Linked DNA regions of Nothobranchius furzeri. The protein of the gene in region 1 interacts with the protein of each later gene in a pairwise test. Links are inferred from orthologs where the notes say so. Each region holds a gene or a part of one and is shown in the gene's direction. Other genes may lie near its edges.

The links. The genes of interacting proteins can lie anywhere in the genome.
Region 2: the proteins of eif1ad (region 1) and stat1a interact in binary tests that used the Homo sapiens proteins (3 or more experiments, as listed by UniProt). The two-hybrid records come from large-scale screens. The link is inferred for Nothobranchius furzeri from reciprocal best matches to the Homo sapiens genes EIF1AD and STAT1.

The regions. Positions count from the first base shown.
Region 1 is NC_091741.1:29,805,942-29,814,308, reverse strand, and holds eif1ad (probable RNA-binding protein EIF1AD), read left to right. Parts: upstream 1-3,543; 5' UTR 3,544-3,686; intron 3,687-4,191; 5' UTR 4,192-4,211; coding exon 4,212-4,298; intron 4,299-4,395; coding exon 4,396-4,504; intron 4,505-6,707; coding exon 6,708-6,816; intron 6,817-6,887; coding exon 6,888-7,122; 3' UTR 7,123-7,351; downstream 7,352-8,367.
Region 2 is NC_091743.1:83,715,418-83,723,139, forward strand, and holds part of stat1a (signal transducer and activator of transcription 1a), read left to right. Parts: intron 1-2,978; coding exon 2,979-3,123; intron 3,124-3,209; coding exon 3,210-3,305; intron 3,306-3,391; coding exon 3,392-3,478; intron 3,479-3,560; coding exon 3,561-3,639; intron 3,640-3,743; coding exon 3,744-3,835; intron 3,836-3,921; coding exon 3,922-4,073; intron 4,074-6,019; coding exon 6,020-6,178; intron 6,179-6,261; coding exon 6,262-6,354; intron 6,355-6,610; coding exon 6,611-6,670; intron 6,671-6,750; coding exon 6,751-6,771; intron 6,772-6,884; coding exon 6,885-6,975; intron 6,976-7,722. UniProt on the Homo sapiens protein: Signal transducer and transcription activator that mediates cellular responses to interferons (IFNs), cytokine KITLG/SCF and other cytokines and other growth factors.

The DNA.
Region 1 (8,367 bases):
ATTTTTCCCCAAGACTGAACCACATTGTGTGAAAACTGCAACGTATCAGTTATAACTGCTGTAAGGAACACGAACAATACAAACATTGAATAAAAAAACATAAATTTTTAAAGTCTAATGTCTGCATTTTCTTTAAGTTTCTTTCCATAACTCTTCCTTTGAATCTATATATAAGCAAATACACTGAAAAATATATATAAATGCAACACTTTTGTTTTTGCTCCCATTTTTCATGAGCTGAACTCAAACATCTGAAAAATTACATACACAAAAATCCATGACTCTCAAATATTGATCTGAAATTTGTCTACATGTGTGTTGGTGAGCACTTTTCTTTTACCAACCATCCCACCTCACAGGTGTTGCATATCAAGGGCTGATTAGGCAACATGAATAATCTACAGGTGTGCCTTAGGCTGCCCACAATAAAAGGACACCCTGACATGTGCGCAGAATTGCTTTATGGGGGTTGATGGGGCAGAAAACCAGTCAGTATTTGGTGTGGCCACCATTTGCCTACGCAGGGCAACACATCAATGGGTGACATGTTTGGTGAGTATGCTGGCCATGCAAGAACTGGGATGTTTTCAGCGCCCAGGAATTGTGCCCAGATCCTTGCAATATGGAGCCGTGCATTATCATGCTGCAACATGAGGTGAAGGTCATGGATGAATGGCACAACAATGGGCCTCAGGATCTCGCCATGGTACCTCTCTGCATTCAAACTGCCATCAATAAAATGCACCTGTGTTTGTTGTCCATAACACACGCCTGCCCATCCCAGTACCCCACCGCCACCATGGGCCACTCGTTCCACAATGTTGACATCAGCAAACCGCTCACCCACATGATGCCACACACGCAGTCGGCCATCTGCCCTAAACAGTATAAACCGGGACTTATCTGTGAACAGAATGCCTCTCCAACGTGTCAAAAGCCATTGAATGTGAGTGTTTGTCTACTTAAGTCGATTACGACAACAAACTGCAGTCAGGTCCAGAACCCGATGAGGATGACGAGCATGCAGATGCGCTTTCCTGAGATGGTTTCTGACAGTTTGTGCAGAAATTCTCTGGTTATGCAAACCGATTGTTGCAGCAACTGTCCAGCTGGTTGGTCTGAGGCGATTATGGAGGTGAACATGCTGGATGTGAAGGTCCTGCGCTGGTGTGGTCACACGTGGTCTGATTGTGTGAGGCCGCTTGGATGTACTAGTTGGATGTACAAATTCTCTGAAACGCCTTTGGAGACGGCTTATGGTAGAGAATGAACACTCGTTTCATGGACAACAGCTCTGGTAGACATTCCTGCAGTCAGCATGCCCACTCCCTCAAAGGTTGCAACATCTGTGGCATTGTGCTGTTTAATCAAACTGCACATTTCAGGGTGGCCTTCTTCTTCTTTGGGTAAGGCAGGCTGGATGCCTTGCGGCGTATTGCTGCCACAGCAGCACTAAGCCTACAGCCAAACCTGGCTACAGCTTGTCATAGACTCCAACCGCCCGTAGAAAACATAACGCCTCCACCCTGCGCCACTCCGCAACCTCCAATAATGTCCTCAGACTGAACAGTAACCTCCAACGCACCCAAAGCCTGAAACAAAGTCTGCCACTCCACCACGTATCAGCTGAACCTCAGAAGAACATGCCTAACCGTCTCCAGATCTCCACACTCCCACCTGCCATTTGGGTACTTACCAACCAGAAACAACTTCTCCCCTCAGGCAGCTATGTCCTAGCCGCAGCCTGGTCATGACCACCAGGCTCACCTCTTACGGAAAATATCCCACCCACGACCAGCCACTCGTCTTTGTAAAACATTATAGAGCCACCCAGTGCTCCCCACATCCCAGGAGGCCTGCCACATCCTCATAGCCACCTGACCAATATCGGAGGGACACTCCAGAGGCCCCAACTCCACCCCGAAATCCACATCCTGTGGGTGTCCTTTTATTGTGGGCAGTCTAAGTGTGACGGAGTGGTATGGATGATACCCCATTTGTCCCTTTAATATATTTTTCTATAGTCTGAAGGTACTTTGGTATGTGATGTTTTAACCAGATTAAAATGTGGCTATTGCACTGGTTTTGATGTAATGGGTTTTCATTGTATGTTCATGTAATTACCCTTTTGAATTTAATGTTTTTCTTTGAATCCAGAGTAGGCTATTGGTGCTGATTTTTCCCAGGTGTCATGTTTTTTTTCTTTCTATGTTATTTAAAAGAAGCCATGTGGAGGCTTGAGGAGATTCTTTTTCTGACTTAAAGGGCAAGTCACCCCCAAATCACCTTTTTTAGCTGATAAACGAAATAAACGAGTGTCTAATCGTGCTGTAGACACGTGTCGTCAATAATTTGGCATTTCAGTGCATCTTAGTTAAAATTTAAATATTCTGCCTAAAACTGACAGTGTTGTGCCATTGTCAGGTAAAAACTCTGCACTGTATTTTGATTTAAATCTGCCACCGCTAATGGCTAAGAGGTATGCTATGATGTAAACTGGTACATTATGATGTCACAATGCTGTCGTGAGCCTGTGTGTGTATTTGTTAGCAGCTCCGTCTTCTCGGTCTGCCAGGCAACAGCATTTGTTGCATTTTTCAAACAGGAAGTGAGAGTGGAGATAGACTCTGGTAGGGGTTGACTTGCTCTTTAACAAAAAGCAATGAAATAAAAGCCTGGGTAGCATATTGGCTCCCAAGGAAGAAAAAAAACTCACTGTTCTGCAGTTTGCCTCCAATTCTTTCATCTTGAAGACCTTCTGGCTACACTACCTTCTTCTTCGTCGTGTTTATTGGCGGGTGGCATCTAACTTCTAGGTGCAGCTACACATTATTCATGCTGTCTAATCAGTCCCTTGATATGCCACACCTGTGAGGTGGGATGGATTATCTTGGTAAAGGAAAAGTGCTCACTAACACACGTAGACAGATTTCAGAACAAAATTTGAGAGTCATGGGTGTTTTGTGGGTGCAGAAAAAGTTTCAGATGTCTGAGTTCAGCTCATGAAAAATGAGAGCAAAAACAAAAGTTATGCATTTTTTCAGTGTAGTATTTGAAATTTATAAATGCATATCTGAGCTTTCCAGTAATCGGGTTTTTATGTTATTTAGTATTATTGATTTTTACTAATGTGATGACACATTTTAAAAGGTATGGTAAACTAAGGTTATGGACATATTTCAATGAAACAGGAGTGGTTAGGGTTTATGCTGTAGTAGCAATGGTTATAAATGTGGGTGATTGTGAACGTTGCTCATTTTAAAATAAAACTCAACCGTCCACAATTCAAGCCACATCAGCCCTGGAAGAACTAAATAGAGATTTTTTTTGGGCTAACAAAATAAAAGGTTTTAAATCACACAATTACCCACCTTAGTAAGACAGTGGCTGTTGGCTGATTTGTAAACTACAGTTTGATTCCTACTGTATTCATGTTTATCAGAAATCTTTCCTGTTACACGATCATTAGGTGGGAAACGAGTAAGACTCAGAAATGGGTGCTTTTATTCTGAAAACATAAGCCCCGTTAAACACCGGAAATTCTTCGGCGTGTTTCCAGATAACTCAAACGCATGTGGTTTCGCTCATATAATTAAGAATAGACTTACTAAGCTCTTTTTTGCTATACTGTTTGCTCCTACAGTCTGCTTTGTCTCACAGGACAGCATTACGTCTTCGTTTTCGAGGTAAAAGCGCGACCCGTGTAAAATATGTTACAGCGACGTAAATGCTAGCATATCCAGCTAAAAGTCACATTAATGTAAAATAGAGTAAATAAGAACACGCCAGCTCTTAAAGATATAGATCAAAAAGGTGGTTTTATGTTTTCAACGACAATTGAAAATGTGTGGTTTACGTGGAAGTTGAATACCCACTAGCTTGGTTTGAGCTAGCTTTGCTAGCTTCGCAGCACTGTTTACTTTCGGAAAACCACGTCATATTAACTAGTTCGACTTTTATGTGGCATGTTAGTATTTCACAAGGATATGTATAATGTTTCGTATTTGTTAAGTTTAAGGGTGAACATACACATGGTAAAATGTGTAAGAAGTCTATTCTGCTGATATTAGCTCAGCTAAAAGCCAAATGTAGATCAATTCTATTACCTGGTGTCTGTTTAAAGTGTGCGACAAACGTTGTCTGTATCACATAATTTATTACTTGCCTTTTGACCTCTGTCTTCATTCCTAGCTGGCTGAACTGTATAGATCATGTCACAGGCCACCAAACGCAAACATGTTGTCAAAGAGGTTCTGGAAGACTTCGTCACCCCAACAGAAAACCAGCAGATTGTAAAGGTAAACCATGTTTGCTTTTGCTCCCAGCTGCTTTAAAAACTACTCAAAGGTACCTCTCTAACTCGGATCTATATTTTGTACCTGTGCACATTCTCAGGTTATTGGTACTCGTGGTAACAACCTCCATGAAACAATCACAGCTCAGGGCGAGACCTTCCTGGTGAGCATGCCCACCAAGTTCCGTAAGAACATCTGGATCAAGAGAGGTAACTGATGAGATTTTTAAAATAAAGAAATAAATACACCTCACGCCAGTTTTGAGCATTGCTACTTGTTCCAGGAGCAAATATTTTTTTTATTCTCTGAAATCTTTCCTATTTCTCAATGTCTTTCATGATTTTTTAATGGCAGATAGGTTTTCTTTCTTTGTGTGTTGAGTCACTGAAATAACCACTGTCATGGTAATTGGTAATCAGGTTGCAGGTTTGAGCCCTGCTCAGTTTGTCGCTGCTGTTGTGTCCTTGGGCAAGACACTTAACCCTCTTTCCTGCTGGTGGTGGTGGGAGGAACCGGTGGCGCCAGTGCTCGGCAGCCTCGCCTCTGTCAGTGTAGCTGTGGCTACATCGTAGCTCATCCCCACCAGTGTGTGAATGTGTGTGTGAATGGGTGAATGACTATGTTGTAAAGCACCTTGTGGGGTATTCAAATACAGGCCATATACCATTCCCATGGGCTCAAGCAAGACTGGCAGCTGGCTTGAATAATCCCCATTTTTGATTTTCCTTTTTGTTCAGATTATTTATTGAAGTCTAGGGTGAAAAATGAAAGGAGGCAAAGAAAAGTAAAACAATGATTACTCAATAAAATTACATAAGGTAAAAATAGAGGTACAATGTCAAAAGGAGGGATAATGGAGAAGAAAACAAGTCTTCAAACAATAAAAATATTTTAAAATATATATATAAAAACAAGTCAAGTAATTATACAAAAATGGGAAAGAATTAAATACACATGTAAGTGCAAAACAATATAAAAAACAAGGAACCACAATATAAATGCTGCTTAGTAGAACGGATAAAAAATCAACTGGAGTGTTTATAATTCAATGCAAGTGAAAACAGATCTTAAGTCAATTCTCTTTATGCCAAGTTAATGTAGTAAATTCTTACTTTTGGGCAAGTGGAGTATTGAGTTAATTCTTCCACAACTTCACTTAAAGGGGCATTATGGAAGTGTGACAGCCAAAACATGTGTAGAAATAATAAATGTCTTCTTCATACATTCTCCTGCAATGCCCTGGTCCTGTAGAATGAGCCCTGGCATTTTTACTGTGATTGCCTGTTTTTCTGTAAAATCACAGAAAAAGAGAGATGCTCGGGTCGAGCAGGCTGCTTCATGCGCGTTCACGCTCAGGCATCGCCCTCCGAACCGTTCTTTGAACGTTGTTTCAGCTGTACAGGATATAAATGTTACAGATACAAAGGACGTCACTGGCGCTTTAGCACACCTAGTAAGATGTCTGACTCTCCTGCAGAAGACCTGGGTTCGATTCTGGATGTGAACATAGTTTATTTAGAGTTTCTTTTTTACATTGATATATTTTTTACAGTAAGACGGCCAAATTTTTATTTGAGACTCGCCGAACGGCATTGAATTCACAGATAAAAAAGATGTGGGTTCAACTTTTCACTTTGTCTGCTGTGCTGAAGAGAAAGGTACAGAACCAAATTATTGAATTAGCTGCGTGTTCTCCTGTCCTCTGTCCTCCGGGCCACACACACACACACACACACACACACACACAAGGGACTGTCTCAGCTGTTATTTTCGTTAAGGAGTGTGCACGTACAGCATGCGCGCCTCGTGCACGAGCCTACTATTGAAGCTGCCGTTCCGCTTTTGGCCTGAGGGGGCAATCACGAGCATAAACATTCAAAACTCCGTAAAGTCCCTTTAAATTAATGTTTCTAATTGTCAGGTTTGTTCCTGCATTTTGTTTTTCTTAAATCTCTGCTTCAATTAACCAGATTAGGTTTCTTCATGGAAAATAACAGAGGTGTGTGTGTGTGTGTGTGTGTGTGTGTGTGTGTGTGTGTGTGTGTGTGTGTGTGTGTGTGTGTGTGTGTGTGTGTGTGTGTGTGTGTGTGTGTGTGTGTGTGTGTGTGTGTGTGTGTGTGTGTTGTTTAGAAATCACTGTCAACTCTGCCCAATCGGCATGAGTTAAACACAAGTCCCGCCCATTGGTTCTATTGGGCCTTTTGCAAGTCCATTCTCCAAGGCAGGCACTAATGTGGTTCCTGAAATGGCCTGGCAAGTGTTCCTGTTGGAGCTGTGAGACACGTGCGTGCCGTGAAATGTTCTGTATTACTACAGAATAACAGAAGGGGTTATTATAAGTTATTTCTAATCCTTATTTAAATGTTAGTAATTTTATTTATATTAAATAGTGTTTGAAATGTTGTTCTCCAGGTGATTATGTGATTGTGGATCCCATTGAGGAGGGGGAGAAGGTGAAGGCAGAAATCAGCTTTATTCTCTACAAAGATCATATTCAGCACCTGCAGAAACAGCAGCTTTGGTAAGCAGAGCACAAATAAAGATGCAAAGCATACGTGTTCTGGTCTGATGATGTCCTCCACCTCCTCTTAGGCCAGAGGGATTCACAGAGAAGTCATCACAAGACAAAACAAGCCACAAGCGGCAAGAGGAGCCCGAGGAGAAAGAGGAGGATGAGGGTAGTGACTCTGAAGATGATGAGAGTGACCTCTTTGTAAACACAAACCGCTGTAACTACCAATACAGCGAGAGTGAGGAAGATGACAGCGAGGAGGAGGAGGAGGAGGAGCAGCAGCAGGGAGGACGAAGGACAGAAGGTGGATCTTAGCTGCAGCTGTGAGAGGACAGCAAGCCATTAGCTCTGAGTCACAGCCCCCTCTACTGGCCACTGTGAGACACTGCTGGAGGACTTGAACTTTCAATAATAACGTTTCCTGATTTACTTTAAAAATAGTTTAAGCTATCAAATATGAAGATGTGATATACTCCTGTTGGCTTTCAGATTCCTGCTCAGGCTGTCTGGGACTCGCCCTGCTTACTGCTGCGTACTCACCACTAGCAGTAAAAGCATCTGAGTCAAAGGGTGGTGATGGTAGAAGTCTTACTGGTTCACTAAAGGCTTTGGTGTAACATGCAGGAACATTGCTGCTCTTCTCTAAGCTGCTGTAGATCTTCACAGCCCACTTTCAAATTAAAGCTGCCATTAGCCTCCGTTTCATCCGATCCTATGTTGCTTTGCACGGACCACTGGGATCCATTCACTGGTTCGGACTGCTTTAGCAGGTGCTGTAGCTTAGTGGCCAAAGCACCTGTGCTAACAGGAGATCCCGGGTTCAAATCCCAGCAGTGCCTCTGAGTTGTTTCTGGCTCAATAGTTGTGTGGAAGCACAATGATTCCTGGATGTAAACGATCAAATAGTTAACATGACATTTGATGTACAGATGACTGCTTTTGGCTGCACAGTGGCGCAGTGGTTAGAGCTGTTGCCTTGCAGCAAGAAGGTCCTGGGTTCGATTCCCAGCCTGGGATCTTTCTGCATGGAGTTAGCATGTTCTCCCTGTGCATGCGTGGGTTCTCTCCGGGTTCTCCGGCTTCCTCCCACAGTCCAAACACATGACTGTTAGGTTGATTGGTCTGTCTAAATTGTCCTTAGGTGTGTGTGTGTGTGTTGCCCTGCGATGGACTGGCTCTCTGTCCAGGTTGTACCCCGCCTGATTGCCCATTGACTGCTGGAGATAGGCACCAGCCCCCCTGCGGCCCTACGTGGACGAAGCGGGTTCAGACAATGGATGGATGGACTGCTGGTGGCGGGGTTGGAACACCGACTACTCCACACCTTATTCTGTGACCATGCTTCTCTTTTAGACAATGCAACATTCTGTCCCCAATATACCGTATTTTCACGACCATAAGGCGCACCTAAAAGTCTTAAATTTTCTCCAATGTACGCCGCGCCCTATGGTGCGGTGCGTACATTGTGTTGTTGTGAGACGCAAACGTAGTAGAAGACAAGGGGCGTGGCGTGAGCGTGCGGACGTGAGCGAAGACAGACCCCGAGTAGTTCAAAAGTGC
Region 2 (7,722 bases), on another chromosome or scaffold:
AGGGAGGAGTCCTAACTGTTGCTGCAGGCGTGTTGTGTGAGAGTGCAGTTATTTACTGGTTAATATATTTTTGGGTTCAGTTGCTTTCATGTGGCCTAATGTGAGTCTATTTGGGATCATTGGAATGATCAGCAGCATTTCTTGATGTGACTTTATGGCAGTTGCCCAGGGCATCATCGTAAGGAGGATGGCATTCATTTACTTTTGTTTTATTTGGTATTTTTTCAGTCATTTTTGGAAATAGTGATTAATTTTGATTAATTCACAGCCTATGTTTAATTACATTTAAAAATTAGTTGTTTAACATCCCCAATTATAATAAATGTCTGCAGATGAGATCAAACAAAACAGATGAGAATTGCCCTTAAAGAGCAAGTCACCCCCAAATAAACTTTATTTTTTGCTGATAAACTAAATAAATGAGTGTCTAATCGTGCTGCAGACACGTGTCGTCAATAATTTGGCACTTCAGTGTAGGGCTGCTCAATTAATCGAATTTTAATCACGATTACGATCTGAGTTTTGAACGATTATAAAAAACAAAACAAGCCGATTATTTGCTCCTCCCACTTGCGCTGCCCTGAGTTGCAAATGAAGCGCTCCTCACAGTGTTGCCAACTTAGCGACTTTGACGCTATTTCTAACAGCTTTTTAGACCCCCTTCTTGACTTTTTAAATCTTAAAAGTACCTAGCGAACATCTCAGAAACATCTCTGGTAACCTTTAGCTACTTTCAGGATAACTGTCGTTGATGTTTCCTGCAGGTTAGCTAAACACTCTGCCTGAGCTCCGGACCGTTCTTCACAACATTAGGAAAGGGAATGATGTAGTGATGTGTCGGTCGCTACAGAAACGGCTCTCAGAGTTGGCTCTGTTGGATTAACCAGAGTGAGTGACACACACACTGTAACTTCTGAGCCGCTAAAAACGGCTAAATGTGCGCGTGCGGCGCGCTAAACACACGTGCAGCTTGCCCCTGATTGCTGTGAGACCGGGTTGGGAGGTGGGGGGTGCAGCTGTGGTTGGGACAATTATTACATTAACTGATGGACTTGTAAATAACTAGTTTATAAATAAGGTAGAAATAAGTTCCTCACGCTGATAAACAATAACTAATCTCTCTGAGGAGACAGTGCTAGTGCACGCTCCTACAGCACCTTGACACGACTCAATAAATGTTATACAACATTTTGTGAACATCAATTTATTTGCATTTATTTGTTATAAATGCCACTGTATAATTCTTGCTGTCAGTATTTGCAAGATATTGGTATTTGGGTCTGTACTGGTTAGACTTATATGAGTTAAACCAAGGTCTATAGCCCTTGTGTCATAAACTATGAGCTGTAAGTATATTGGTCTTTTTATACTGGGAATCAGGAGTTATTTTAGTGATCATCTTGTTTCTTATCACACACCAGCTCAGTGGTCTAGTGGTAGAGTGTCCGCCCTGAGACTGGGAGATCAGGGTTCGATTCCTGGTCGGGTCATACCAAAGACTTTGAAAAAATGGGACCCAATGCCTCCCTGCTTGACACTCAGCATTAAGGGTTGGATTGGAGGGTTAAACCACCAAATTGTTCCCGAGCGCGGCTGTGTCTGCAGCTCACCGCTCCCCCAGGGGATGGGTCAAATGCGGAGAACAAATTTCGCACACACATCAGTGTGTGTGACAACTAATGGGACTTTAACTTTAACTTTATTTTGTCCTGATTGTGCCCTGAGCAATTTTATGACTGAATAAAAACAAATAAAATCAACATAAATAGAAAAATCGTCTTAAATAATCGAGATCTCAATTTCAGTCACAATAATCGTGATTATTATTTTTGCCATAATCGAGCAGCTCTACTTCAGTGCATCTTAGTTCAAATTTAAATATTCTGCCTAAAACTGGCAGTGTTGTGCCGTTGTCAGGTAAAAACTCTGCACTGTATTTTAATTTAAATCTGCCACCGCTATTGGCTAAGAAGTATGCTATGATGTAAACTGGTACATTATGATGTCACAATGCTGTCGTGAGCCTGAGTGTGTGTGTATTTGTTAGCGGCTCCGCCCTCTCGGTCTGCCAGGCAACAGCATTTGTTGCATTTTTCAAACATGAAGTGGGAGTGGAGTTAGACTCTGGTAGGGGTTGACTTGCTCTTTAAGCTGTTTAACTTGGACCAAGCATTTTAGGTCACAGATAGGTGTAGCTTAGGGTCTCTGCCTATACACCTTGTAAGACAATTTAGGTGATGGCATGTTGTTTTTCTGCTATTGAACTGTTTTCTAATAATGTTGTGTTTAATAAAGTGAAGGAAGGAGAGAAATAACGTTTCCCTAGCAGTTTTTAAAATTGTCCCTATGTAATCCGATTAATCGTGTCGAGACCCCATCCGATTCATCGATTATCCAAATAATCGTTTGTTGCAGCCCTAAAGCGTAAGTCAGTGTTTCCCCTAGAATTGTTGCCAGTCATGTCGCCTGGGTTCTGCTCGCAAAATGCTACAATGCTGCGTCTCCTGTGGGGGGTGTCTCGTAGATGTGGTGCTAGAATTTCAGCCGTGGTGCAGCTCCACTCCTGCGCCTATGCAGGAGAAACTGTAAGTTCAGTGGAGACCATGTCTTTGCTTTAACTGCTCCTGAATTATGGAACCACCTTCCCTTGGACATCAGGCAGTCCTCAACCCCATCTTGTTTAACCCTAACCCTACAAAAGGCATTAGCTTTAAATTGTTTTTCTTTTTTTTTTTATTAAACTTTTCATTTTTATCTTGACTGATTGCATAATTATTTTTCCTTACTTGTAGGTCTTTTTGCTGTAACTATTTTTATTACGTAGCCTGTTTTATTATTTTTCTACACATCACTTTGGTGCTGTAGGTGTTTAAAATGTTTTATAAATAAAGCTTTTATGAACGGTGCCCTTCAACATCTGGCGTAACCGTGGTGGGACCTCTGTAAGATAACTCCGTTGTTGTTTTGGATCTTCTTAGGGATACGGTGGCATCACAGGACTCCCTGGCAACTGTTCGGTTTCACGAGCTCCTGGCTCAGCTGGATGATCAGCACAGCCGCTTTGCTCTGGAGAACAACTTCCTGCAGCAGCACAACTTCCGTAAGATCAAGAGGAACCTGCAGGTCAGAGCCCCACGTTCTCTACTCGTGTCAGAGTGAGTTAAAACTAAGAAAGTGACTGCGTAAACATGGAGCACTTGTTTCTCCAGGATCGGTTTCAGGAGGACGCCCTCCATATGGCCATGATCATCTCCAGAAACTTGAAAGAGGAGCAGAAGATCTTGGCCAATGCAAAGGATTCTGTGGTAAGACCTGCAGCTAGACTCTGCTTTAATCCATCTAGATTTTATTTAAAGATGCTTTAATCATGAATTTGACAATGCTTCTGCAGCAGGAGAAGGAGGGGACGGTTTCAGCCATGGTGGTGGAGAAGCAGAAGCTGGACAACAAAGTGAAGGAGATGAGAAACATTGTTCAGGTGAAACAAACACGTTTCAGCCACATTTAAATAATCTCTGCTGTTCCTTTACCACAGCTAAAGGAGAGTTTCCTTTGTTCAGATTATCGACCAGAACCTGAAGAATCTGGAGGACCAGCAGGATGAATACGATTTCCAATTCAACACGCTGAAGAACAGAGGTAGGAAAGTGCAGATGACCCAGAAGAACAAGGAAACTTAGACTGAAGTGGCTTGTTCTGATGTTTGAGTGAAGCTGATGTCTGGTTATGTCCATCACCTGCAGAGAACGACGTGAACGGCATGACGCCAAAGGAGCTGGAGGCAGAGAAGTTAGTCATCATGAAGATGTGCCTTGAACTGAAAGCCAAACGCCACGTGAGATTCTTAATCCACAGTTTTATGATAGTAGAAAGCTGAGTCCAAACCTTCTAAAACTCCGTGCCTTCTTGCACGTGTCCCAGGATGCTGTGGTGTACCTGAATGAACTGCTGAATGTCATCCAGGGGTTGATAACCGACCTGATCTCCGAGGAGCTGCCAGAGTGGAAGCAGCGGCAGCAGATAGCGTGCATTGGCGGTCCGCCCAATGCTTGCGTGGACCAGCTGCAGAACTGGTGAGACCGTTGTTGTCCCAGAAGCTTCAGATAAACTTTATTTTCTTCTGTTGAGTTACCAAGAAATCTGAGACATCAGGAGAAGGCATCAAGCTGGAGTTCACATCTGACAGACATCTGGATCTAGAAGTATCAGAATAATACACAAGGTTGGAGATTATGGTAGTTTTTGGATCTAATGGAACCTGAATTTTCCCCCAAATCCCTAAAATTAGTGGTAATATCAATCCAAGTCAATTAAGATGAAGGGTTTAAATGAAGGTGACCAGACCAGACCAGAGGGGCTTGGTGTGGTCCTGATTCAGGGTCTTAAAAAGTCTTAAAAGTCTTAAATCGATTTAGTAAAGTCTTAAATTTGGGTCGTATGACGTGATTTTAAAATACGTTCGTCTCATACTTGCAAACTTGACGCTTTTCAGCGAAAATTGCCGCTTATGAAAAAAAATGCGTTCACATGAATCAAAGAGTTTTTGTTTTAGGGAAGGCGAGTCTGGTCGGATTTTAGTCGCTCTTTATAAGAATCAGTTTCAGAAAAATGAGGAGTGTTCATCCTCTTCACAAACCATCTTTGTTAGTGGGTCACGAGTTGCCATTTGACCAATCACAGTCACAGAGACAGCTAGGGGAAAAACGCTGCGGTAGCCGATATCACGGCGCCGCCACTACTGTCGCCTCAACATCTGGCAGCGGTTGGAACTTAAAAGTTCGTAAAATCATCAAAATCCCCTCCAGATACGTCAGTTTTCTGTCCAGAACATTAGCAGGTTTGTCTCCTTTCAGTTTCAGCCTTAACTGATGTCTCCCGAGGCTTGTGTTCTTTTTTTTTGGAGGGGGCGGGAAGTTGAGTTCAATCAAGTGTTGGTCAAAAACAGCTTTCCCAGTAATTAGACAGGTTCATCCTTACCTAAAGAAGATTCTGGCAGACAAGCTGCTGCGGTTGTTGTTTCAGGTGCATGCAGGCTAAACCCTATAGGCACGTCTTCCCTACATGTTTTATAAGAGATTTGAAATCAAGAAGAAGAAAAACTTGCAAAACAGTATGGATCTGTTCTCAGTGAGATGTTATTAGTGGAAAATAAACATAAATACGTCTAAAGACGTTACTGGTACTTTTACTGTCATTCTGTTGTGGAAAGTCAGCACAAATATTCAGTGAAAACTTTAAAAAGCTGCTTAAACCTTCATTATGTTACAGTGGGCCTGTCTATATTTATAAAATCAGTTGATTGTTTAAAGTAACTGTAACTAAAGTTACTCAGAGCCACAGTAGAAGGTCCAGCCTAAGTTACGCCGGGGACACACCGGCCGCCGAAGCGCCGGGAGGCGAAGTGCTCACGTAATTCGGTCGCTGCTCCTCAGTTCCGACCAGACGCTTGTTTCTCCGCTCCGGTCGAGGCGCGCCTCGTAGTTTTTCTTTTAATCACTTGGTGTCCTCCATTTCCTCTCCGCCTTTTCTCTTTTCCTCTACACCCCCCTCCCCCTTGCTGTTTGTGTGTGTGTGTGTGTGTGTGAACCTATGGTGTGAACCAGTTGTTAATAGCTGGCCTACGACTTTCTTCCTCTCTGTCCTGTTTGATGACTGTTTGATGCTTGAGGTCCACGTGGCAGGGGTGAGGTGGTGCTCACTCCTCACCCCTGCCACGTGGACCTCAAGGGATAAACCATCAATCCTGCTCATTGGCCAACTTTCCTCGCGGGGTCACCCATAAAGACAGAGGGAGGGTTATAGGCTACATTTAATAAAAAAAAAAAAAATACTCAAAGCTCTCGAATGTGTTCAGTTTTTGTTTTATGTTGCGGCCTTATGAGCTGGGTCGTAACAGTCATTGCTCCTCATTAATCTGATCAGTTTTATTCACATTGAAACTGATGAGATGTTAAACATGCTGGAGAGCAGGAAGTGATCAGGCTTGGAGGAGCTTCAACTCTCAAACACCCTGCTGCAGGTTCACAGCAGTCGCTGAGAGTCTCCAGCAGGTGCGTCAACACCTGAAGAAGATGCATGAGTTGGAGCAAAATTTCACGTATGAGAACGACCCCATCCCTCAGAAGAAAGTGTTTCTGGAGAGCCGAGCTCTGGAGCTCCTCAAGACCCTCCTCTCCAGGTAGGAAACCTCAAATAAATCGGTTAGCAATCTCGCTGTTGTCTGTATTCAATATTGATGAGTGTGTGTGTGTGTGTGTGTAGCTCACTGGTCATAGAGAGACAGCCCTGCATGCCCACCCACCCACAGAGACCCATGGTGCTGAAAACAGGCGTCCAGTTCACCGTGAAACTCCGGTAGGAAACTAAACCAAACCATGAAAACAGAATCATACAGAATTTCAGCTGAGAAACAAATATTTACACGAGTCAAGCCAGAGAAGGGCCTCTTTAACACGTGCCCATCAGAACTCATGTCTTAAAGCTAACTGGAGTTGCTGCAGAGAGCGAACGCTGACTGAGCTGCTCTTTTCCCGTTAGTTTCAAAAGCAGAAAGGTTTGACCTTAATAAACGTGCATTTCTGAGATTAGTTTCCTGTTTTTCCCCCTTCAGGTTTCTGGTGAAGCTTCAAGAGTTTAACTACCAACTCAAAGTCAAAGCTCTTTTTGATAAGTAAGATCATCTCCTGTTTCCACACGTTCCACATTTTCAGACCCATACATTTCTAAATATGGATGTTTTCTTCCCCTTAGGGATGTCGCAGACAAAAAAGGGTAAGTGTCTAACGTTTTGACTTGTTTATAAGAAATCTATCCAACTAAGTTTTTTTTTTTTTTATTCTTGAGAAGTTAAATGTATCCCTGAGTGATTATGTGTCTAAAACCAGGTTTCGGAGGTTCAACATTTTGGGCACAAACACTAAAGTGATGAACACAGAGGAGTCCAACGGCAGCCTGGCTGCAGAGTTCCGACATCTAGTGAGTTTATCGTAAAACTCGGTTTAAAATCATCGTTTTCCTCCTAAAACAAACAAAAATTATGCAGTGTTGCAATAAATAAATCTGATAACATCTCAGAAATGTCACCTGGTGTCATTTCTAAACCTGTCAGGCTCTGTTAATATCACTTTTAATTTATTAAAGTCACAGTTTAAATATAAAAACTAGTAAAAACACTAAATATGAAAACAAATATGGATTTAAAATAACAAAACTGTTTTAGAATGCATAAATTCTTAAATATTTACTTACAGTCCTTATTCTGCTCTCCCTACTTATTCCACCTTCCTCATGATCCCCTGATTTCCCTCTTTCCCTCTCTCCTATTCACTCCCTCTCTTTCTTTACACTTTTTATCACAATTGTCTATTTTTGCTCATTGTAAACATAGTTTTAGTCATTTTCTAAATTATTTTTTATATTTTAAATTTTTAGTTTATGTGAAGCACCTCGTGATTTTTATCTTAAAGGGACTATAAGGAAGTTTGACAGCCAAAACATGTATAGAAATAATAAATGTCTTCATCATACATTCTCCTGCAATGCCCTGGTCCTGTAGAATGAGGCCTGGCATTTTTACTGTGATTGCCTGTTTTTCTGTAAAACCACAGAAAAAGAGAGATGCTCGGGTCGAGCAGGCTGCTTCATGCGCGTTCACGCTCAGGCATCGCCTGTAGCATTTGCTATCCGTAGCTTTAGCAGCGGAGAGAGAGGTAGTAGACTTTG